6 linked regions of the Rattus norvegicus genome follow. The protein of the gene in region 3 purifies or fractionates together with the protein of the main gene of each other region. This does not show direct contact. Links are inferred from orthologs where the notes say so. Each region holds a gene or a part of one and is shown on either strand. Other genes may lie near its edges. The genes, in order: Polr3b, Polr2e, Polr3f, Polr1c, Polr3h and Polr3gl.

What was found.
Region 1: the proteins of Polr3f (region 3) and Polr3b fractionate together in Homo sapiens (co-fractionation; 4 studies listed by BioGRID and IntAct, with this or other methods). This does not show direct contact. The link is inferred for Rattus norvegicus from reciprocal best matches to the Homo sapiens genes POLR3F and POLR3B.
Region 2: the proteins of Polr3f (region 3) and Polr2e purify together in Homo sapiens (affinity purification with mass spectrometry; 4 studies listed by BioGRID and IntAct, counting the BioPlex papers as one, with this or other methods). This does not show direct contact. The link is inferred for Rattus norvegicus from reciprocal best matches to the Homo sapiens genes POLR3F and POLR2E.
Region 4: the proteins of Polr3f (region 3) and Polr1c purify together in Homo sapiens (affinity purification with mass spectrometry; 4 studies listed by BioGRID and IntAct, counting the BioPlex papers as one, with this or other methods). This does not show direct contact. The link is inferred for Rattus norvegicus from reciprocal best matches to the Homo sapiens genes POLR3F and POLR1C.
Region 5: the proteins of Polr3f (region 3) and Polr3h purify together in Homo sapiens (affinity purification with mass spectrometry; 4 studies listed by BioGRID and IntAct, with this or other methods). This does not show direct contact. The link is inferred for Rattus norvegicus from reciprocal best matches to the Homo sapiens genes POLR3F and POLR3H.
Region 6: the proteins of Polr3f (region 3) and Polr3gl purify together in Homo sapiens (co-immunoprecipitation; 5 studies listed by BioGRID and IntAct, counting the BioPlex papers as one, with this or other methods). This does not show direct contact. The link is inferred for Rattus norvegicus from reciprocal best matches to the Homo sapiens genes POLR3F and POLR3GL.

The regions. Positions count from the first base shown.
Region 1 is NC_086025.1:21,023,634-21,027,133, reverse strand, and holds part of Polr3b (DNA-directed RNA polymerase III subunit RPC2), read left to right. Parts: intron 1-2,618; coding exon 2,619-2,651; intron 2,652-2,851; coding exon 2,852-2,908; intron 2,909-2,995; coding exon 2,996-3,060; intron 3,061-3,500. UniProt on the Homo sapiens protein: Catalytic core component of RNA polymerase III (Pol III), a DNA-dependent RNA polymerase which synthesizes small non-coding RNAs using the four ribonucleoside triphosphates as substrates.
Region 2 is NC_086025.1:10,316,010-10,320,157, forward strand, and holds the start of Polr2e (DNA-directed RNA polymerases I, II, and III subunit RPABC1), read left to right. Parts: upstream 1-1,348; 5' UTR 1,349-1,424; coding exon 1,425-1,481; exon of another isoform or gene 1,482-1,561; coding exon of another isoform or gene 1,562-1,594; intron 1,595-2,404; coding exon 2,405-2,579; intron 2,580-3,532; coding exon 3,533-3,729; intron 3,730-3,992; coding exon 3,993-4,051; intron 4,052-4,148. UniProt on the Homo sapiens protein: DNA-dependent RNA polymerase catalyzes the transcription of DNA into RNA using the four ribonucleoside triphosphates as substrates.
Region 3 is NC_086021.1:152,371,798-152,375,232, forward strand, and holds part of Polr3f (DNA-directed RNA polymerase III subunit RPC6), read left to right. Parts: intron 1-303; coding exon 304-447; intron 448-625; coding exon 626-733; intron 734-1,916; coding exon 1,917-2,108; intron 2,109-2,857; coding exon 2,858-2,935; 3' UTR 2,936-3,435. UniProt on the Homo sapiens protein: DNA-dependent RNA polymerase catalyzes the transcription of DNA into RNA using the four ribonucleoside triphosphates as substrates.
Region 4 is NC_086027.1:22,232,099-22,236,117, forward strand, and holds the start of Polr1c (DNA-directed RNA polymerases I and III subunit RPAC1), read left to right. Parts: upstream 1-1,219; 5' UTR 1,220-1,275; coding exon 1,276-1,344; intron 1,345-1,438; coding exon 1,439-1,510; intron 1,511-3,221; coding exon 3,222-3,329; intron 3,330-3,554; coding exon 3,555-3,687; intron 3,688-4,019. Other genes in the region: protein YIPF3, read right to left, coding at 1-20, 161-358, 894-974. UniProt on the Homo sapiens protein: DNA-dependent RNA polymerase catalyzes the transcription of DNA into RNA using the four ribonucleoside triphosphates as substrates.
Region 5 is NC_086025.1:115,317,082-115,321,144, reverse strand, and holds the start of Polr3h (DNA-directed RNA polymerase III subunit RPC8), read left to right. Parts: upstream 1-1,263; 5' UTR 1,264-1,290; intron 1,291-1,556; 5' UTR 1,557-1,570; coding exon 1,571-1,681; intron 1,682-4,063.
Region 6 is NC_086020.1:186,815,170-186,819,175, reverse strand, and holds the start of Polr3gl (DNA-directed RNA polymerase III subunit RPC7-like), read left to right. Parts: upstream 1-1,206; 5' UTR 1,207-1,281; intron 1,282-4,006. UniProt on the Homo sapiens protein: DNA-dependent RNA polymerase catalyzes the transcription of DNA into RNA using the four ribonucleoside triphosphates as substrates. Specific peripheric component of RNA polymerase III which synthesizes small RNAs, such as 5S rRNA and tRNAs.

The sequences.
Region 1 (3,500 bases), on a different chromosome or scaffold from region 3:
ACTCTCAGGCTCTCTCTCTACTGTTGTCCTTGCGGCGATATAATGTTACTTATGTATTTTCTTACTTCCCAGAGACAGGGTTCTATGCGGCCCAGGCTAGATTTGAATTGATAATCGATATCACGGAGGCTGATTCTAAACTGGTTCTGCTTCTGCCTCGTAACTGCTAGGGTTATATAGGCCTGGGCCATCACAGCTGGCTTAAAGGTTGAGAACAAACCAATGAAGAAGGTTGCTGAGTACACATCCAGGAGTTGGGGTGATTGAGTAGGGGAGGGTTTCCTGATTTCTAGAGGAGATTAAAAAGTGTTTGTGGCAGCGAGTTTTCTACAAGGACTGTGCATTCCTTCTGTTTCTAAGACAGGAATTTCATTGCGCACAGAGGGGAAACTTTGAAATATGGGAGCAGGAATTTGAAAAGCTAGATTAGTGCATAGGATGGCTGTGACAAAGTACCACAGCTTGATAGTGTGAAAAACCAGATGTTTAATTCCCCACCTTTCTGAAGGCTGGAAATCCAAGATGAAGCTTACAGAAGTCTGGGAAAGATTCCAGCGCGTGCCTCTTCCCCAACACCTGCTGCTTTACTGACAGCCTTTGACTTACAGGGGCATCACGCTGAAATCTGTATTCATCTTTACCTCACAGTGTCCCTTTATGTATCTGTCCAAATTCCCCCTTGTTATGTGGGTGCCAGCCATGTTGAAGTAGAGTTTACCTACTGACCTCTTCTGCAGCCCCGCAGGCCACATGGAAGCCAGTGTAGGAATTTAGTCTAGCTTGTAATTTTGGTCTTCATCCTCTTTTTCTTTTTCTGCTCAACGAGATACAATGGAACACAGTATTGCACAGATACTGAGTGTCGCTTGCTTTGGCTCTGATAGTTGCAGATAAGGGAAACAACTGTTATCCAGTGTACACTCTAGAACATTTCCATCACTCAAAAAAAGTTCTCTTACAACCTTTTCACACACACACACACACACACACACACACACACACACACACACACACACCCAGCACCCAAATACTCTTGCTTTCTATTATCACAGACTGGCTTGCCTGTTTTCTGGGCTTCCCCACATCCTCGTCCTCATTTCTAGATGTTAGAAATATCCATCATCCCCCCCCCCCTCATTTTTTGAGTCAGGATCTCACTGTGTAGCACTGGGTGTCTTGGAACCGGGCTGGCCTTGAACTCACAGAGATCTGCCTCTCAAGTGCTGGGCTTAAAGGTGTGCACCACTGTGTTCAGCTTTTCTCATTTCGTGCAACTTGTTTTCCATTGCTCCTAGGCAATCTCATTGTCCCTTGGCTTTAGTAACTGCTCCATAATTTATACCCCAGGGCACTCTTTTTCTAAGTTCCAGACATCTACTGCCCGTTAGACATTTCTACCTGAATGTCTAACTGGTATCTCAGACCCTTGAAAACCCGTTGCTCCTACGCCTGGCCCCATCCCCTCATTTCTGTCAATGTTGTCTCTATGCCTCTGTTTCCTCAGACCAGAAACCCTGGTGTTAATTTTAACTTCACTTTTTTCCAGGGAGCCATCTAGTCTGTTGTTTTACTGGCTTTGCTCAAGCACTTGCCTGCTAGCTAAATGACTTCCCACTTCCTACCTGTACTGTTACCGCCTGGGCTGCTGTGATCAGCTAAGCGACTGCCTGCTTCCAGCCTTGCGCATGCCCACCCAGCATCCAGAGCGATCCAGTTGATACACACAGAGATAGTACATCACCCTCCACTCAGAACTTTCCAGTGCTGCTCAGGTCCCTCAAGTGAAAGCCAGTTTTTGTTCTGCTTATTTTTGTTGTTGTGCTTATTTATTTTATGTATATAAATACTCTTATCTGCATATATACTTGCCTGCCAGAAGAGGACTTCAGAAGATGGTTGTGAGCCACCTTGTGATTGCTGGAAATTGAACTCGGGACTTGATTGCTAGGAACTGAACTCCGGTCTTTTGGAAGAGCAGCCAGTGCTCTTAACTGCTGAGCCATCTCTCCAGCCCCTAAAGCCTTTTTTTGTTGTTGTTGTTTTTTTTTTTTTTAATGTTTGCTACAAAGCTGTGGGTTGTCCATAAACCTTTCCTTAGGAACAGGATATTCTGACTTTAGACTCAGCTGTACCCAGCTGTTCGGGCTCCCTTAGCAGATGGGATAAGTGAAAAGAGGCAGTCCCCAGATATAGTGATCTTCAAGTTAAGTCCCCAAACTCGAGTGGAGTGGCAGTTAGCAGTCTGTCAGTGGAGGAGCAAATACCCACATGTGCTGACCCCCGGAAGCCTTGAGGTAGCCTGAGGCTCTGGTTCAGAATGAACTCAGACTTACAGATCTCTTTTCAAGCTATGATCCTCCCTTCAGCCATGAGAATAAATTTGAAAGGTGTTTGGAATCTTGTCATCCAGAAGAGGTTTTATTATGGAAAACCTGTGGTATATATATATGTGGTTATACACATGTACACCACAGAAACCTGATGTTTATAATAGCAATTATATTATAAAATATTCCCTGTTTGGTTTGCTTCTTTCTAAACTTAAACTTGGCATACCACAGTAATTGTGTTTTGTGGTTACTACACTTGTTCTCATGTTCTTATTGTTTGGTCCACAGGAAAAATGGAGGCTGCTTCCAGCATTTTTAAAGGTAATTGTTTGATATTTAATAATAGTTATTTTTCACGTAATAAGTCACTAGATGGTCCTTTACATTTTGTTTTTAATTAAATACGTTATTAATCTTGCCCTCACTTGTATTTGAGAAACATGGATGGTTGGTTACCTGTGGCCACAGTGACTTGTGTAACCTGTTACTTTGTTGCTGTCTTTTGTTCTTTCTCTGTTTAGGTAAAAGGCCTGGTGAAACAGCACATCGACTCCTTTAACTATTTCATTAATGTAGAGGTGAGTATTCAGGGTTAAAACCAGATGTAAATTGAGGACCAGTCGGAAGCAAGAGCTCTGTTTCTCATTCTGCACTTTCTACTACAGATAAAGAAGATAATGAAAGCCAACGAAAAGGTTACAAGCGATGCTGATCCCATGTGGTACTTAAAGTAAGAAACAACTGCTCTTAAATAACATTCTCATTGATTTTAAATACTGGAGAACTTGCTGTCAAATCTCTTCTAACACCACTATTTTATGTATTTAGTAAACTAATTGTATGTTTTGTTTTTTTTTTTTTTTTTTGGTTCTTTTTTTCGGAGCTGGGGACTGAACCCAGGTCCTTGCGCTTCCTAGGCAAGCGCTCTACCACTGAGCTAAATCCCCAACCCCAGTAAACTAATTGTAAAGTGCTCATATTTGACTTTTAATTGTAAATCATTGTAAGAGTTAATTGAAAAGTTACTAAAACTGTTGGTTTAATTCTTTTAAGTAAGCCTTTAATGAGTTTTATATATAATTAATAATGATAAAAACATTCAGGATTTGTAGCACAGCCTATGTTACTACATTATATAGAACCTGAGGAACCAGAAGTCATCGGAACCAG
Region 2 (4,148 bases), on a different chromosome or scaffold from region 3:
GAGAGGGAGAGGGTAGAGGGAGAGAGAGAGAAACACAGGCTCCATCCCAGAACTCAGAGATCTACCCACTTTGCCTCCAGAGTGGTGCTAGAATCAAATGCCTCTCTCTCTCTCTCTCTCTCTCTCTCTCTCTCTATATATATATATATATATATATATATATATATATATATATATATATATATATATATATATATACATATACACTGTCACTGTCTTTGGACACACCAGAAGAGGGCATCGGATCTCTTTACAGATGGTTGTGAGCCACCATGTGGTTGCTGGGAATTGAACTCAGGACCTCTGGAAGAGCAGTCAGTGCTCTTAACCACTTAGCCATCTCTCCAGCCCCTCAAACTCTCTCATTCCCCATGCCCACATCCCCTTACTTTGCACCCACAGCTCTTAGCCAACTGTAGCAACCACAGCCCCTCAGCCCTGGTCTACAGGGCATATGGTGGGTTCAGTGATCGGTGCCCTTGGCCAAAACTTGTCTTTCCAAGTCAGGATCAGCCTAAGTTTCCATACCAGAACCGGTCATGATCTGTAGACCTCAGTCAGACTCACATCAGGACAGAATGGAGGGTACAGTCCGCATCTAGATTTCCAACGACAGCCCTTGCCAGTTGCGATGGTACAAGCTTTCAATCCCAGCACTGCGGAGGCAGAGGCAGGGCATGCTCTGCGCTGTTGAGACCTGGTTTACATTCTAACTTTCAAGGCAGCACGAGTAGCCCACCACATACACACTTGTTTGTCGATTGTCTATATGCCTATATGTCCATTTTTTCCTTCTAGTTTTTAGGATTTTAATCATGTGTGTGGGTCTGCATGTGGGTTTAGACATACCCAGAGGCCAGAGGCCCCAGATCCTCTGGAGCTGGAGTTACAGATGGCTGGGGGCGCTGGAATCCGATTTCTCATACAAAGTGCAAATATATTAATAAAAACTTATATAAAAAGGGAAACTGAGGCACATGAACCTGGCTTTTCATCATCGGGCTCCCCCTTTCTTTCTTTCCTTTTCTTTTTCGAGACAGGATGTCCCTGGCTATAGACCAGGCTCGCCTCAAACTCATCGACTGCTTGCCTCGGTCCGGGATTAAAGGCGTGAACTACAGCCAAGTTTTCTTTTGCAAACGCCTAGTGGGAAAATACTAAGGCAGGTCAAGTATCGCGCGATCTTCCCGTGTGCGATCTCGCGCAGACACCGCCGCGGTAAATGCTGGGATTGCCCACCGCTCAACCTATCCTGGAAAGTTGGTGTATTCCGGCGATCACCTAAACCAAACCTGGGCGGGGCCTTCTCCGCATTCCGCGCAGGCGCACTGTGCTGGGGGCGTGCACTTTATGCTGTCCCGCGCAGGCTCAGTCCTGGTAGGTCTACGAGCGCGCGTGCAGAGTTGTTTGTGAAGTGCGACAACATGGACGACGAGGAGGAAACGTATCGGCTGTGGAAGATCCGCAAGACTATCATGCAGGCGAGTTGCATGGGGAGGTTTTGAGCGAGCGCTGAGCTGTGGACTAACTGCGGTTGTCTGTCCGCTCAGCCCAGCCTCCAATGGGGGCTAATCCTCTTGCTTCAGCCTCCCAGGTAATAGGATGCATCCCCTCTTAAAGTGTGGAGTCCACCCACCTCAGTTGTTGGCAATCCTCCTGCTTCAGCCTCCTCCCCCTGCCCCAGAGGAAAAGTCCTAGCTGGACTCTCTGCTTCGGAAACGGGATACATGGCTGCTACACGGTCACACCTGGTTTACGGGGTGTTGGGAACGAATGGTTTCCTCAGTACTAGGGAGCCTCACCATCGACACCCACATGGTAGTTCACAACCATCTGTAACCCCAGTTCCAGGGCATCTGTGGCCCTTTTCTGGTCTCTTGGACACACGTAGGATTAAAAGAAGCTATTTAAAAAAATAAAACAAGCCGGCATGACGGCGCACGCCTTTAATCCCAGCACTCTGGAGTTAGAAAGAGGCGGATCTCTGAGTTAGAGGTCAGCCTGGTCTACATGGTAATTTCCCGGATAGACAGGGTCACATTCACGCAGAGAAACCCTGTCTGGAAAGAAAAGGGAAAAAAGGAAGACATTTTGGTTGTTCGAGTTGAGTAGATAAGACCCCAGTGGAGAAAGAGGTATTAATAGTTTTAATTTATGCTGTGTTGGGTGGAGCCCAGGACCTGATCTAGGCCTCCTCAGGCCTGTTCTCAGCCCTCATTAGGAGGGTCCAAGACAGGAAGGTTGCCAGGTCATTGACCCCAGCCTTCTCTGGTGAGGCTGGAGGGAAGGGAGGAGGCTTGGCTGGGGCCTCTGTAGTCTCAGCCTATGCAGAATTTGGGTACTGCGGGTCAGTCAGTGTTAGTCCCCAGCTGTCCTCTAGCTGAGTACTCTTCTCTCTCTACAGCTGTGTCATGACCGAGGCTACCTGGTGACCCAGGATGAGCTGGACCAGACACTTGAAGAGTTCAAGGCACAGTTTGGGGACAAGCCCAGCGAAGGACGGCCGAGGCGCACAGACCTCACCGTGCTGGTGGCCCACAACGATGATCCCACAGACCAGATGTTTGTCTTCTTCCCAGGTGAGGGTCCTTGGGCTGGCAGTAGTGGCATCCTCTGGGGGCCTCCAGTTCTGGTGGCAGCTGCCTGCTTTGTCCCTGTCTTCCCCTGGGAAGCTTCCATTTCACCGGTGTCCTTTTTGCCCCTGAGTCCGCAGACCAGTGCTCAGTCCCCCTGCTCCTGTTGCTGTAGTCTACAGTTGCTGTCTGAGGCCCAGGCGGCTCTCGGAGGTTTGTGGTGCTCTGCAGCTCCTCCAGTCTCCGCAGGCAGCTTGTTTCCTTTAATACCTGATGTTGATGCCTGGGGCCTGGGGTTTTAGTGTGAGAATTGGGGGTGCAGGGATGGGCATGGTAGCATGTGTTTATAAATCCAGGAGGCGGAGGCAGGCAGCCGAGGCCAGCCTGGGCTACACAGTGACTTCTAGGACAGCCAGAACTATGTAAGGCAGTGGCTGTCAGCCTTCCCGACAATGGGACTCTCCATGTTGTGGTGACCTACAGCCATAAAATTTTCATTGCTGCTTCCTAACTAATTTTGCCACTGTTATCATAATGTAAAAAGGTGTGTAGAGTCTGGATAAGGTCCGATAATTTGCAGACTAGGTGACTAGGTGACCTGGACCTGCTCTTGTGCTCTGCGTCCTAATGCTCCAGTAAACCCCACTCTGCCTGAGGAGAGAAGGCTTAGCCCCATGTTAGACACAGGGTCCACCTCCTGGTCAGACAGTTTCTCCTTGAGGCTGCCCAAGCTGACAATACCATATTCCACAAATCTCAGAGCTGCTGAGAATTTCACCCCCTGGATCAGGAGGGGCGGACAGTGCAGCTTTCTTCCGCCATGGCTGCCCCGTGATAGCCCCACCGCGGCTGGCTTTGCGTTCTGGTCTTCCTTTGTGAGTGGAGAAGCTAAGTCCACAGGCAGCAGGACATCAGGGACTCTAGTGGTGGGTGTGAGGGTCACACTTGTGTGCCTGCAGAGGAGCCCAAGGTGGGCATCAAGACCATCAAGGTGTACTGCCAGCGCATGCAGGAGGAGAACATCACACGGGCGCTGATCGTGGTGCAGCAGGGCATGACACCCTCCGCCAAGCAGTCCCTGGTAGACATGGCCCCTAAGTACGTGCTAGAACAGTTTCTACAGCAGGAGCTGCTCATCAATATCACAGAACATGAGGTGCGTGTGTCCCAGGGAAGGTCTGGGTGGCATGGCGTGGTCTGGACAGGATACGGGAGGGCCCTGGATCTTCCCAGTCTCAGGCCGTGCCATTCATAAGCTGGGCAGGGTCGTTCCCCAGTTTTAGTGCAGTGGCCTTGAGCATCCAACTTGGTGATATTAGTAGCCTGGTTGTGTCCTCTGTCCCAGCCCTGTGGCAGTACCCATTAGCCTGTTGAGTCTGTCGGTTTCTGATGGCCGCGGGTGGGTCTCTGTTTCCACAGCTAGTCCCTGAGCACGTGGTCATGACCAAGGAGGAGGTGACGGAACTGCTGGCGCGATAGTATCCTTTTTTTTTTTTTTTTTTTTTTACGTGTGAGGCTATATGCCCATATGCACAAAGTAGCCTCTTTTTTTTTTTTTTTTTTAAGATTTATTTT
Region 3 (3,435 bases):
GGTGGCTATAAAATGAAAGGCAAAGGAAAATGTGCTTAAATACCATACTGTATCTGAACCAGTGTTCTTTGCCTTCCTGTGAGGTTTCTGATTTACAATATACAGCAGCAGACCATGGACAGTGCTGGCTGCAGCATAGTTGAAGACAGCCCTCACTTTAGAGACAGTCCCAAGTTGAGTGACTCTCTGCTATTTTTGCAGTTATTCGGTATATTGAAAACTGTTATAAAATATAAGTGTTGGCTGTTCAAGTTTAGTTTCTAGAAGTTTATAAAGAAATGATCTGTGCATATTCTTTCCTAGGCTTCCAAAAAGAAGGTTTACATGCTCTATAACCTGCAGCCAGACCGGTCTGTGACTGGCGGGGCCTGGTACAGTGACCAGGATTTTGAATCTGAATTTGTTGAGGTGCTTAATCAACAGTGTTTCAAATTCCTACAGAGCAAGGTGAGGTCATTAAGGAAATATCACAAGTTCTTTTAAAAAGAGATTTTGTGAAATATTGACTTGTAGATTAAAAATCCCAAAAATTGGAAATTTTTATCATATGTGCTACTGTTGGTATTACACGTAACTTTACCACTAACATGAATTTTTGCTTGAGCTTCCTCTTCTAATCTCACAGGCAGAGACTGCAAGAGAAAGTAAACAGAATCCAGTGATACAAAGAAACAGTTCATTTGCTTCATCACATGAAGTGTGGAAGTACATCTGTGAACTGGGCATCAGTAAGGTCAGAGCTTATTTCTACCCCGACTGTATGGCCTAGTCTTCCTCACAAGGCTGTAGCTGTGGTGTGTTTGACCCATCGCCCTTTCAGGTCCACATTCTGCTGAACCCACTTTGGAAAAGCATTGTTTTACAGTAGGCAGACACCATAAGTGTCTGACTCTGGAGAACTCTTCTCAATTGGGTCCTGGCAGTTCTGTTCACCCAAAGTGAAAATGTTCTAAGTTCTTGATTGTCTGATAGTTGAGTTTGTTACAGTGTTAGTATGATTTATTGATACTTTCTTACTTAGTCAAATGTAAGGGTCCCTCAGCACCCTTTTGAAGACCTTTACATAAGGACACTGATGCTTTTCATGGTCTGCAAAGAAGCCAAAGTAGCATTTGGAGAAGTCATTTTCAGTTCTGGTTCCCAGATTCTCATTGATTAAAAAATTAGGAACTCAACTTATTTCATGTCTCAAGTATCTCTCTATAGCAACATTTTGAGAATGTTCATCAAGAGCTGGAGAGATGGCTCAGCAGTTAAGAGCACTGATTGTTCTTCCAGAGGCCCTGAGTTCAATTCTCAGCAACCACATGGTGGCTCACAACCATCTGTAATGGGATCTGATGCCCTCTTCTGGTGTGTCTGAAGACAGCTACAGTGTACTCATATACATTAAATAATTTTTTTTTTAAAAAGACTGTCCAAATTCTTGTGGGTTTTGGTTGCCAAAGAAATGTCACTTCAGGGCTGGAGAGATGGCTCAGTGGTTAAGAGCACTGACTGCTCTTCAAGAGGTCCTGAGTTCAATTCCCAGCAACCACATGGTGGCTCACAACCATCTGTAATGGAATCCGATGCCCTCTTTTGGTGTGTCTGAAGACGATGATGGTGTATAGTGTACTTACATAAAATAAATAAATCTTTTAATAAATGTCACTTCATAAGCCTTCTAGGTTTTTTTCTAAAGAATGCTGACATCGTGTGAGGCTGGGCATGAAGATAGACTTCTGTCCTCAGCATGGCAGTGGTTTGTGCTCATGTGGACTGTTATTCATCCTATTTGTGCCTTCCATTGCTCTTCCATAGAGCATGGCTTTTCCACTTGACTGAGTGGCTGTGACCTCTTGCTGTTTGTAATACCTTCTCTGAAAGGAGGTTTCTTTGTCCTTTATGCATGCTTTCTATGTACCCATTTCTAGGTAGAGTTGTCCATGGAGGACATTGAAACCATCTTGAACACACTCATTTATGATGGCAAAGTGGATATGACTATCATTGCTGCCAAGGAAGGCACTGTTGGGAGCGTTGATGGACACATGAAACTGTACAGGGCAGTCAACCCAATCCTCCCACCTACAGGCTTGGTCCGGGCACCCTGTGGACTCTGTCCCGTAAGTGAAAGCTGCTTCAGTTTTACTTCTATCACTGTCTTATGCAGAGGCCATAAAGAAACAACAGGCACAGCAGGCTTCCCACCTGTGTCACATGAGCTATTTAACCCCTCCCCCAGACCCTTGATGGATTCACAGATTGATGAATAGGACTTATATTCTTTCTTGGAGCACTCAGGGTAGGGACATGCTTCTGTTCTTAGGACCAAGAACATCCTGATAATTCTACTTAGCACTCTTTGAAGATACCTAAACACAGAATATCTTCAATTTAGTAAAAATTAAATTGCCGATAAGTATAGGACTCACTTCCTTCATTCCTATGCACCTGCTGATAACCTTTTGCCCAGGTGAAAGGACAGGTGAAAGGTTCATCTTTATGCTGTGTTAATATGCCTGCAAGCCAGGCAGGGTTGTGCATACCTGCAGTCCCAGCATTTGGGAGACAGAGGCAGTTGGATCTCTGAGTTTGAAGCCTGCCTATTCTACATAGTGAATTCCATGTCAGCCAGGATTACATAATGACACCCTTTCTTAAAAAACCAAAAATCAAAGGAACCAAACAAACCAAAAATATAAAAGCTTATAGTTAACCATGACCACAAAGTAGACACTGTTACAGTGTGCTCTTCAATGTAGTCCTCATCTGTTTCAAAGAGTTTCTTTTTTTCTTTTAATACTGCTTTAAATCGGTGGGGTTTTGATATTTTAAAACTTGAATATAAACTTTTATGTTTTTTTTTTTTAAGGTTTTTGATGACTGCCATGAAGGTGGTGAAATTTCACCATCTAATTGTATTTACATGACAGAGTGGCTCGAATTTTAATAGAGCTGTGAACTTTATTTACATTTGGCAAACTGAACTTCGTGGGAAACAAATAATTCATGATGGAGTGTCAAATTACTTTGAGAGCATACTTCACAATAATGGGTACTGACTTGCTGCTATGGAAACACTTATTTATGAAGACAGAAAACAAAGGAGATTAAGTTTAATAAAGTTTAATTGGGAAGTCTCTTCTTCATTAAGTAAAATACCTTGAAGGTCTGGAAGACTAAGGAAAAGAAGCCAGCAAACCTACGTTGACCATGTACTGAGATAAAGGCTGGAGTGAGAAGATGCCCACTTGAGTTACTTAAGATCGTCATTGAAAACTCATCGGGTTTATTACCGCCATTTCTGTTTGGTTTTTCTTGGGTTTTGTTGAGAAGAAATTACAAGTGGTGCAGGCAGGACCAGCTGGTGATGGGAGTGTGTGTGCCAGCTCGGGCCTGGGTTGTAAAGTGGGTATTTCTTTTTCTACACCATCTGTTTTTCACCCCAGT
Region 4 (4,019 bases), on a different chromosome or scaffold from region 3:
CTCTTCCCTGCCTGCCACATCTGAAAGGAGATGGGTATTATGAAAAACTCCTGGCTCTAGACGGTTACCCGGCCTCCGCTTGATTTCTGTGTATGTAGGTCTAAGTGGAAAAAGTGTATCAACCTAGGACACACACAGGTCTTCCTTTCCATTGGCTTACCTGATCTGCTACCTGCCGGCTCAGTTGTCCCTTAAAGCCTTTCATGCCGAGAAACTCCCCGTCCTCTTCTTCTGCAGCAGCTGCATCAGCATCTACCTCTTCCTCACGCAGGCGCTGATGTAGTTCACCCATGTCCTCGAAGCTGGAGCCTGAGGTATCGTCCATGTTCTCCATATCAATCACAGCCGAGCCCCCACCCTGTGAAGACAATGGCTCCTAGTGTGAGGGGCCCTTCCGTTGCATCCTTTGGTTCTCCCCTCATCTGACAGTTTGAGGCTTTGCTCTTCCACTGACGAGGATATGGCTTGGAACTGCTACCCACTGTGTTATACATAACCTTTCACTGCTGGCAACTCTTGGTGGCGACACTTGTAGTTCGCCCTCCCCCCCCCGCCCCTCCCAAAGCTCCAAAGAGTTGCAAAGAAGCCCATCTGCCTTTCCCAACTCTCAAACAAGCCTATTTTAGGAAGTGCCGAAATTCTATCCTGTAGTCCCATACTATGCCTGATCCAGGCAGATCCCCCAACCCGTCTGCAAAGCCCCGGGCAGGTACAGAGACTCGAACCTTAATCTAGCCCTTTCACGCCAGCACAAGCTCTACACACTTTCGCGTGGAAGACTGAAAGAGGACAGGCAGTGTGGCAATAGAGCCGACTTCCACGCCGCGAGAAAAAATAGCAACCACACTCGGCCGCCAGCCCGGGGAGTTGCTGGCAGCAAGAGCTCTCAATACCTGGATGTTTTCTTCGAAGCCTCCCCATTCCGGGCCAGCACCATTTCGGACGCCGCTGGCCGGCGCCGCCTGAGTCGCCATGTCCCTCGAGGCTTCCCGTCGCTGAAGCTAGCGCTCGTGGGAATAGTGTGAGACCTGGGCCCGAGGGAAGGAAAGGTTCAGAGGAGCGACTAGGCGAGGTAGGACCAGCCGGAACGCAAAAGTGAGAAACCCGGATGTTTGGCCCCAATTGACGTCCGGAAGTGAAGGACGTGGACAGAGGCGGGACAAGATATCGCGACAGTGAAGATTGCCGGAGACGGAACGTTGCCGCGGAGACGGAGGCGGGCCGCTAGCACGCACGCGCTAACTTGGAGCCTCCTCTCACGGCTGATGGTGGAAGATGGCGGCTGCTCAGGCGGTGGAGGAAATGCGGACTCGCGTGGTTCTGGGAGAGTTTGGGGTTCGCAATGTAAGAGATCGGACCGCGGGAGTGATGGGGGAGGCACGGGAGAGAGGAGGCCTGGTGTATGGCCTGGCCTCACTGCCCTTTCTGTTGGCTCTAGGTCCACACCACTGACTTTCCCGGTAACTACTCCGGTTATGATGATGCCTGGGACCAGGACCGGTTCGAGAAGGTGGGTAGGGCTGGAAGTGTCCAGACGGTTTGAGGGGCCAGACCTCACAGGTTGGGTTGGGGATCTCTGTTTTCATGAAACATGAAAACATGTTTCCCGATCCATGGACGGGCCGTCAGACACCGCTCCTGTTTGTGGAATAAATTGTTTGCTCTCGGTGGGGTAATGGGCCACAAACAAGTTATTTCAGTATAATAAAATAGCGATGAAGATGGCTGGGATGGGGTAGGAATCATTGATGCACTTAATCCAGCCAATTGAAGGGACGTAGTTAGGGAGTGACATTTGAATTAAGCTTTGAACTATGAATAAAAGTTGAGCGGTGAAGGCCTAATTCGAGTTTCATTATAAACGCTTGTATAAGGTTTGCTCTTAGTCAGCTGCAGCAGCTCATTTTTGTCAGAATGTAAGTCCACCAGCATGAGCAGTAGATAAGATTGGAATGCATTTTAGACTCTGTAGGTGATAGATTTTTATTTTTATGTCTTTTTGAAACAGGGTTCCATGGCTGCCCTGGCACCCCCTCTGTAGACCAGGCCGGACTCAAACTCAGATTGGTCCACCTGCCTCTGCCTCCCGTGCACAGGATTAAAGGCATGAGCCACCATGCCCCGTTAGAATTTTTCAGTAGACTGATAAAATTTTGCAGTCTTGATAGCTGGGAAGGAATGAATCTGGCGAATCTGCCAGCTAGTGTATGGAGGCTGAAATTGGGGGCATGGATGAACTGCAGATGGTGGTAATGGAGTGAGAGTAGTAACTAGCTGATGCAGACCATTGCTGTGGTGAGGGCAGTGTGAGAAAGGACCTTGTGGCTTGAGGAACGGATAACCTTTTCTTGGTATGTATGTTTGCCTGCATGTGTATTTGTGCACCACTGCTCCCAGCAGTGTGAGGAGGTCCCACTGGGTGCTGGGAACCAAATCCATTCTTCTGCAAGAGCAGTAAGTGCTCTTAACTGCCGAGTGGTTTCTCCAGCCACACTGGGGAACTGTGTTGCTGGCTGTGTCATTTGCTAAGCGGGAGGACCAGGGCGATGGCACAGTTGTTTGCGAAGTCTACCGGTCGAGTGGTGATGCTTGAAGTCAGACCAAGGTCAGGAGCTGCTATGCCCTTGCTTGAGTCAGCAGCATGAAGGTCACCCAGGGGATTTAGAACCTGGGAGAAAGTAACGTTTACTGGGTGGAAGAGAAAATTTAGATAAGGAAAAGTAGATATTAAAAAATGCAAGTATCAAATGGTTTAAATAGGTGGGAAGTTCTGCTTTTTGTACAGTAGCTTTGCTGGGTGGTCTGTGGACTATCTGAGAAGCCAGGCATAGTGGCACACACCTTTAATCCCAGCACTCAAGAAGCAGAGGCAGGGGGTTGGGGATTTAGCTCAGTGGTAGAGCACTTGCCTAGCAAGCGCAAGGCCCTGGGTTCGGTCCCCAGCTCCGAAAAAAAAGAAAAAAGAAGAAAGAAAAAAAGAAGCAGAGGCAGGTGGATCTTTGAGTTTGAGGCCAGCCTAGTCTACAGAGTGAGTTCTAGGACAGCCAGGGCTACAGAAAAACCCTGTCTTGAAAAACATAAACAAGGAACAGTACACTGCCCTCCCAGTGGGACTAGAGACAAAATGTCTACTGATGATCTTGGGGGATAGTGCCAGGGTAGACTGGGTTCACACAAGAGGAACAGGTTTCCCACCCACTGGGCTTTCTCTACCCCTCTAGAACTTCCGTGTGGACGTGGTGCATATGGACGAGAGCACACTGGAGTTCGACATGGTGGGGATTGATGCTGCCATTGCCAATGCCTTCCGGAGGATTCTGTTAGCTGAGGTATTAGAAGTCGCGGGCTGGAGTGTGGAAACTGTCACCCCATCTGTAGACTACCGGGCGGGTGGGGCGGTTTACACCTATAATATGAACACTTCAGAGGGCAGTCCGAACTACACAGTAAACCTTGTATCAAATCTGAAGGGCAAAACTAAGAAGGGCTGCCCCTCGTTTTTCCAGGTAGGGGATGGGTGGAGGTCAGGTAGATCATTTTGCTTCCTTGGGCAGGTGCCAACAATGGCTGTGGAAAAGGTTTTGGTGTATAACAACACATCCATCGTCCAGGATGAGATCCTTGCTCACCGCCTGGGGCTTATCCCCATTCTTGCTGATCCACGTCTCTTTGAATATCGGAACCCAGGTAAGGCTGAGAGGTTGAGATTATGAGTTAGGCAGAACTGTCCTGGAATCTGTCATGGGCTCAGATCCCAGGCCTAATTAACTGTGATCTTAGTTGGCTCTTGTACATGGGCCTTCGCCTGTGAGAACGTTCTCTTGCCCCTGCCTTTAATCCCTCACTCTTAGCACAGTGCCAGCAGCGCTCAGAGGCTCTTTCCACCTTTACATGGTTTCTAGGGATTGAAGTTGGGTCTGTAGGTTTAAGCAAGCATGCACCCTCTGAGGCTTCTTGTCAGCCCGTTACTAGAGCTAGTAGGGCCAGGCAGGCATGGTGGTGTACATCTTTACTCCCAA
Region 5 (4,063 bases), on a different chromosome or scaffold from region 3:
AAGGGAATAACATTTGAAATGTAAATAAAAATATCCAATAAAAATAAATTAAAAAAATATATAAAAAGAAAGAGTTACAAAAAAAAAAAAAGTCTCTTGTACCCCAGGGTGATCTTGAACTCACTAAGTAGCTGATCTGAATGTCTAGTTTTTCTGTCTTTTTAAAAAAGATCTTATTTTATTTATTGAACGACTGTGAGTACACTGTCACTGCCCTTAGACACACTAGAAGAGGGTATCGGATCCCATTACAGATGGTTGTGAGCCACCATGTGGTTGCTGGGAACTGAACTCAAGACCTTGGCAAGAGCAATCGATCAGTGCTCTTAACCACTGAGCCATCTCTCCAGCCCCGTTTTTTTTTTTTTTTTTTTTTTTTTTTTGTCTTTACTTTCTAAGTGCTGGAATTCAGGTGTGTTTGCCACTATGTTTGGCTGACCAAAATTTTGTGTTGGGGGGGGGGGGCGGCGGGGAAGGGAGCCGCTAAAACAAAGTCTTATTTTGTAACTCAAACTGGTCTTGAACTTGCAGTGATTATCTAGCCTCTACCTCCTCAGTGCTGGCATTACAAGTGTGAGACTGTTTGCATTCAGCTGTTTAAGGACGGAGTGTGCTGAGTTTTAGTGAGTACATACATCAATTGCACCACTTAAAATTACTGTCACCCAGAAAGGCCTGGTGACCCTTTTTTGCCCACTGTCTTGGGTACTTGTCTGGAGTAAAGACTATTTTTTTTTTAAAGATTTATTTATTTATTATATATAAGTACACTGTAGCTGTCTTCAGATACACCAGAAGAGGGCATCGGATCTCTTTACAGATGGTTGTGAGCCACCATGTGGTTGCTGGGAATTGAACTCATGACCTCTGGAAGAGCAGTCGGGTGCTCTTAACCTCTGAGCCATCTCTCCAGCCCGAGTAAAGACTATTTTGAACGTGTTATATTTGTATTTTCAAAGGATCTCTCTAGCTGCTGTGCAAAAGAAAAGACAGGCTGGAAGAGCAGAATTATCGCCTAGCAACCAGACTCGCTCAGTGGCCGGGGTTGGCTGGCTTCAGAACGAGGCCCCGCCCTCTCAGCGCTGTACCCCGCCCCTCTCCTCTCAGTAGCGGGAGAGTGCAGGCGGCTCCGCCCACCTTCAGGCTCCTCCCCTCACAGGAGCCTTGCCTAGCTCTGCGACCCGTAGGGGCGGGCAGATGCTTCTTATTGGTCAGTTCTCCGGAAGCTGAGTTCATTTGGTTTGGCTAGCGCTGCGTTGGGGCCTCCGAGCCGCTGGACGCGCGTGAATGGTGCGTGGCTTCCGCGCGTGGTGCGGAGTGGTCGGGGCGGGGATGGGACGGGGTCGGCTCTTCTCCAAGCCTGGAGGAATGGGGCCTCAGGTTCCTCCGGGAGAGGAGCGTGGCATCCGCAAGCGGGACCCCAGGCCCTGCCCTCCCGCGCGGCTCGGCTGCAGGCTTGGCTTGTTAGAATCCGAGAGGGAATGGGGGCAGCTCGGGGACCCCCAGCCCCTCACCGTTCTCAGCCCCGCGTGCTTAACAGCTTCTTTGGGTTCCAGAGCCCTAGCGCAGGATGTTCGTGCTGGTGGAGATGGTGGACACCGTGCGCATACCCCCGTGGCAGTTTGAGCGGAAACTCAACGACTCCATTGCTGAGGAGCTGAACAAGAAATTGGCCAACAAGGTACTAGGCCCTCGGGTTGCCGGGCAGTGTCCGGAACGGTCCCGCTGCTTGTCTGGCCGTCCCTTGTTTCAGCCTTGGCCTTACACACTTAACGTAACTTCATGTCAGGGTTTCTTTCCTTCCCTTCCTTATAAACCAGACTTGGATGTCAGCGTGTACCCAAGGGAGTAAATGGGCTGGACGAAGTAGTGTATACCTGTCATCCCAGCTTCTTGGGTTAATAAGGCTTGTGACGATCCTGAGTTCGAGGCCAGCGTGGGCAACATAATAAACCTGTTTCAAACAAATTAAGCATCGAAACTGCTGGTGGTAGCGCATGGCTTTAATCCCATTACTTAAGAGGCAGAGGCAGGTGGATCTCTGTGAGTTCGAGGCCAGCCTGGTCTACAGAGGGAGCTCAGCCATGGCTACACGGAGAAACAAACGTCTCAAAAAAAAAAAAAAAAAAAAAACCAAAAAACCAAAAACAAACAAACAGACAAACAAAAAACCAAAAAAACCTAAAAAAAACCAAAAACACCGGGGTGTTGAATAGTGCTTAAATTTGCTTGACATTTGAGGTTTGATTCTCCGTATTGTCGGAAAACAAAACAGAGTACGAAATGGGTTTGTAAAACGGAAACCGGAAAATGCCTGTTTCCTCCTTCAATTACTGTGCAGTCTTGGCCAGGTCACCTACTCTGGGCCTCAGTTTGTCCAAGTGGGTGAGTACAGAGGTCAGAGGATAGTGCGTGCTCTCTGGAATTGAGCTCAGCTGTCAGGTTTAGAGGTGGCTTTTTACCAGCTGACCCAGCTCATTGGCCCCTTCCTTGTATTCTTTTGGTTACTGTATTATGTCCCTTTCTGTGAATACAGACCTTCTCTGATGTAATCCTTTCATTATCCCCAGTACTTAGCCAGAGCGTGGCAGGGGAGACAGAGACTCTGCCCGTGTAGCATAGTGAGGAAGAAGAGCTGGCTTGAGAGGGTCCCCTTGTTAATGAGCCAGGGTGGATGCCATGAAGGACAGGCATTCACACAGCTGGAGAACAGAGGTGTGCCACCTGGGATGAAAGAGATTGGTGACTTCTGAGAAAACAGCACTAACCTGAGAGCTGACGGCGAGGAGAAGCCAAGAGACAGACTCTGATTTGATGGTTGGAGCAGGTTAGGTATAAAGAGTTGTGGAGACAGCGCAATTAGCATGTGCAAGGGTCCTGAGGCAGGAGGGCTGTGGCATCTAAGAAAGCACAGAGAATGCCAGTGTAGCTGGAACACAGAGGCTGGTCTAGGAACTGTAGACAGAAGCCGGACCACAGAGCCCTGGAGGGCCTTACAGTCCAAGTTGTTCTTTTCAAGTCAGTAGGAGGTGATCTGAGAGCCAGGAAGAAAGAACAGGTTTGGCTTTACATAGGAGACAGGTAGATCCTTTACAGGAGGCCGAGGCCGGAAGAAGGGGTATATCACAGACCTGAGGCTCGTCAGATGGAGGAAAAACGATGCTGACTTTCCTTTTTTGGGACAGGATCTCACTATGTAGTTTTGGTTGGCCTTTCAACCCAGAGCTGCCTGCCTCTGCCGCCTAGTGCTAGGATTAAAGGTGTGTGCCAGCTGCCCTCGCTGTTCTAGTGCTGTAAGGAAACACCATGACCAGGACAACAAGAGAAAGTGTTTTACTGGAGGCTTGCGTATGGTTTCGGAGGTTTAGTCTTTGAGCATCGTGGCAGAGGCATGTTGGCACACATGGTGCTGGAGTGGTAGCTAAGAGCTACATCCTCATCTACCAAGGGAGTCAAACCACTCCCACTGACAAGGCCACGCCTCCTAATCCTTCTGGTCTTTCTCAAGTTGTAGCCCTTCCTGATGATGTCAGCATTCAAGTGTATGGGCCTGTGGAGGTCATGCCCATTCAGTCACGGCATCCAGGGCTTCTCTCTTTGTTATTTTTTTTAATTACATGAATTTATTTTGAATGTGGTGTATAAACCACAGCACACATGAGTAGGTCATCGCACACCTCGTGAGGAGAAGGGTCCAGGACCCGGCGTCGGTTAAGATGGACGGCAGGCACCTTGACTGCTGAGCCGGTTTGCCAATAGCATCTTCCCTCTTATTTTTGAGACAGCATCTCGTGGGACTTGAACTCGCTTTAAATTTACTGTGTAACCAAGGAAGAATTGGGACTTCTGATACCTCTGCCTCCCTCTCAACTGCAGGGATTACAGGCAAGGATCACCATGCCTCGTTGAGGCCAGTTCACTCGATCCTGTGAGAGAAGCCCCCCCAGAAATCACTGCAGGGAGCTCTGCCCAACGCTGAGGTGCGCTATGCATCTCTAGTCCCTGAGCAGCTCTTGTGAGGGCTGTGACTAGGGGTAATATTGGTGGTAGATGTGCAGACACT
Region 6 (4,006 bases), on a different chromosome or scaffold from region 3:
GAGTATGTGTCATCCACAAGCATTTTCTCTGACCTCTGGCATATTCATGTTGACTAACTCCTAGTTTTATCTCCATCCTGAAGTATTTCCATTTACTTCTACTCCGTGAAAGGATGACTTTTTTTTTTTCTTTTCTTTTTTTCGGAGCTGGGGACCGAACCCAGGGCCTTGCGCTTGCTAGGCAAGCGCTCTACCACTGAGCTAAATCCCCAACCCAGGATGACTCTTTCTACTCCACACCATTCCCTTGAAGGGGCTTGAAGGGCAGTGCAAAGCGCAGAAAGAAAAAAACAAAAAAGCCCACTGGATTCCCACCTTCTCTCCCCAGTGACTTCTCTGATCCCAAGAGCCTTTCCCTCCCCCACTTCTCAGACATAGCAACAATTCACAGGACTGGGCATTTGGGGCCTGACCACGGTAGCAGAGTCAAGAGTATCAAGAGTTCAAGGCCAGTCTAGACTGAGTAGCCAGAACCTGTCTTTAGGGAAAAAAAATCTTTTAAAGATTAAGTATTTGGGGGCTGGAGAGATGGCTCAGCAGTTAAGAGCACTGACTGCTCTTCCAGAGGTCCTGAGTTCAATTCCCAGCAACCACATGGTGGCTCACAACCATCTGTAATGGGATCTGATGCCCTCTTCTGTGTGTCTAAAGACAGCTACAGTGTGCTCACATATATAAAATAAATCTTTAAAAAAAAAGATTAAGTATTTATTGGTAGTGCTGAAAGAGAGGGTCGGAAAGTCACCAAAAGACTGACGCTGGGGAGTTGGGGGGGGGGGGCAAGGGAGGGGTCCTAAGCCAGTAGAGGACGCTGGAGTCTCCACTGGAGACCGCTGGAGGCGGTTGGGAGCCTCCTGGAGGGTTCTGGGAACTAACTCCAGTCTCCTGCTGGCCGAGCCGTTAACAGTTAAGCAGTCTGGTCTCTCTAACACAAGGCTACATTTCCCAGCAGCAATTCTCTTCTGGCTCAGCTACGTGCCTGGAAGTGCTCTGAGGAGCAGGTCATCTTAGCCGACTCCTGCCATCCAGAGTCGGTTCCGTCTGGGCAGAAGAGGTGAACACTGCAGCCCCAGGTCTCAGCGCGCCCTACTTGCCAAGCCTCAGTTCCGGTTAGGCTTGCTCCCACCTCCACCCCTCCTTGCCCGCCTCCGCTCTTGTTGATTGGCTAGGAAAACCCACCAATGGAGAGGTCAGGGAGGCGGGCCTAGAACGCGGGCTGGAAGAAGAAAAGCAAATTTCAAGTTGGCGGCTGCGTGGGCCCGAGTGGGGGAGGGACGGCAGGTAAGGCTTGGACCTGGTGGCTCTGACCGGGTTTGGTTCGGTACTTCCAGATTTAGTCCCTCGGCGCCAGACAGCAACGTAGTTAACGCTTTCTGTCAGCCTATTGGACTAGCCCCCTTCTGAATCCCTCCCCTTTCTTCCCGGGCTCTCACTGCTGTCTTGACTGTACACCAGAGACACAGCTTGCTGTCGTGCCTGGGGACAGATATTAAAACAGGAGAGGAATGCTCATTCTTGTAGCTCAGACTCTTCTATGGTATCAGCTTCTTCCACGTCTGTTAACATTAACCTCCTGTCAAGAGCCTGGCAGATTCTTATTACCTATCAAGTCAACTGAACCGCTCGCTACCCTCTACCCACTGCTTTTCTAGACCTCCTTGAAGAGTTTACTGATCCTCAGCCTGACAATGTCTGATTATCATTATTGAAATCTATTTAACTTTTAAAATCACATTTATTATCGGGGTGGTGGTGGTGGTGGTGGTGGCGTGCGCGCCATGGCTTGCGCAAGGAGGTCAGAGGACAACTTGAGCTAATCAATCTGTTTTCCTGGCCACCTGGCAAAGAGAGTATTTAGTATCTCATGAGGCTCACTGTCTCCCTCCATCCCTCCCATCCTTTTTACCGACAGACTCTTGCTGTGTAGCCTATACTGGCCTCCAATTTGCATTCCTCTGCTACAGTCTCCCCAGTGCTAGGATTACACGTTCTCTTTTGATGTTTCTATTCCATGAACCGAAGGTTTGATGGGACAGGTTGTGGTACTTAATACATTGTGTTCAATAAGCGTTCATCAAATGGAATTGATTTGTGGGAACCAGTTTTAAACTCCTAATATAATTAGGGAACAATAAAAGACAACATAGTATATAATTAAAGGCCTTTAAATTGGTGGTTTATTGCATTAATGTTTTATAGTTATTCTCAGACCAGAGAAGGAAATCAGCTATAAGAACCATAAGGGAGTCTTTATGACTCACAGGGTCTCTAGACTCCTGTTCAAACAGGAATTTGCTGAGCACCTACTACATCCCAGACACAGCGTTAGACAATGGGGATCATAGTGAACCCTCTGATAACATCTATCCAATAAATTGTTGTTGAGTATGTGGGAAAATATTTTTGAGACAGGTTTTTTCCTATGCAGGACAAGCAGGCTGGCCTCCAACTTATGATCCTCCTGCCTCAGCCTTCCTGGGATAACAGGCTTGTACCACTGCACCCCAAATAAACTTTTTCTTTTAAATTGAGAAGCATGAATCTTGTCTTACAAATGCTAAGCATTAATTCTACCCCTGAACCACACCCCTACTCCAGAGCCAGCATCTTTAGTAAGAGAATTCACCAGCTCTTTTCAGGCCCAGCCACTATTTTATTTTTTCTTTGTATTTGTTCAACTTAAACTTATTTATTGGGAGCCCTCAAAAGCGACATGGCGGTCCTCTTAAAGCTGGGCGTTCTCTGCAGTGGCCAAGGAGCTCGAGCTCTGTTACTCCGAAACTGGGCAGTCAGACCTGCTTTTGTGTCCACATTTCTCCAGGACCAGCCTACCCCAGGATGGCATGGCACCCAGCACATTCACCTGTCACCAAGCCACCAGTCTGGTTCCAAGGCTGCATCTCTCCACTGGACCAGTGAGAGGGTTGTCAGTGTTTTGCTCTTGGGCCTGATTCCAGCTGGGTACTTGAATCCCTGCTCTGTGGTGGACTACTCTCTGGCTGCAACCCTCACCCTGCACAGTTACTGGGGCCTTGGACAAGTGGTTTCTGCCTACGTTCATGAGGACAGTCTCAGCTTTGACCTTTGCTGGGCTTTGCTACTTCAATTACCACAATGTAGGCATCTGCAGAGCGGTTGCCATGCTGTGGAAGCTCTGACCTCTTGGTGTAGCACTTTGATTGCATGCCTCCTTGCCTCTGCTTTATCAATGCTGTTCACCTCACAATGAGGAGGGGATGAACGGTAAATCCGTTGGTGGGCAGAATGTCTTCTAATTACATGGCTATTTTCAGAATTTATTTGTTGAGGAGTTAGGTTCACTCAGTCGTGAGTCTGAGTCCTATAGTCACTGAGTCTGGACGCCAGTTCACGTGACTCATCGTGTAACTGAACATTTCATAGGCTCATGTTGCCTTTGATCACAATTTCTTAAGGAGAGCCAGCTAATTGCTGTCAGGATAAGAGTAGACTTCTCTCCTCAGACCTGGAGGGAGCACTGTTCATTCATGAGTCAGACTTTGCATGAAATTGAACAGTATTCTGTTTGGAACCTTCCACTCTTGTTCAGGTGGCCCCAGCTGTTGGTGGCTCTGTTTCTAGGGGACTTTTAATCAGGAGATGCCCTCAGTTACTGACGTTTTAAGTCTTAGGAAGGAAATCAAGGAAAGTTAGATTTTGGGAAGTTCAATTTAGGGAGTTCTCCTTTGTAGGTGGGTTCAAATATGACAGATTGCAAACAGACTTACTCTTCAAATGTATCTCAGTTATGCACGAATGAGCTGTCCAAAAAATGTAAGACTAAGTAATAAACTGTCTTCCCACCGTGGGAGTTGCTAATGAGAAAGTGTACACTGAAAAGGCAAAATTTTTAAATAAAATATTATATAATGAGAAAAAACCGTATTTATTGTTAGTGGGCCTGGGTGGAGTGTGTGCCCTGGTGCATAGGTCAGAGGAAGGTAGTGAATTCTACAGGCTGGCCCCAAACTCACTGTGGAGCCAAAGA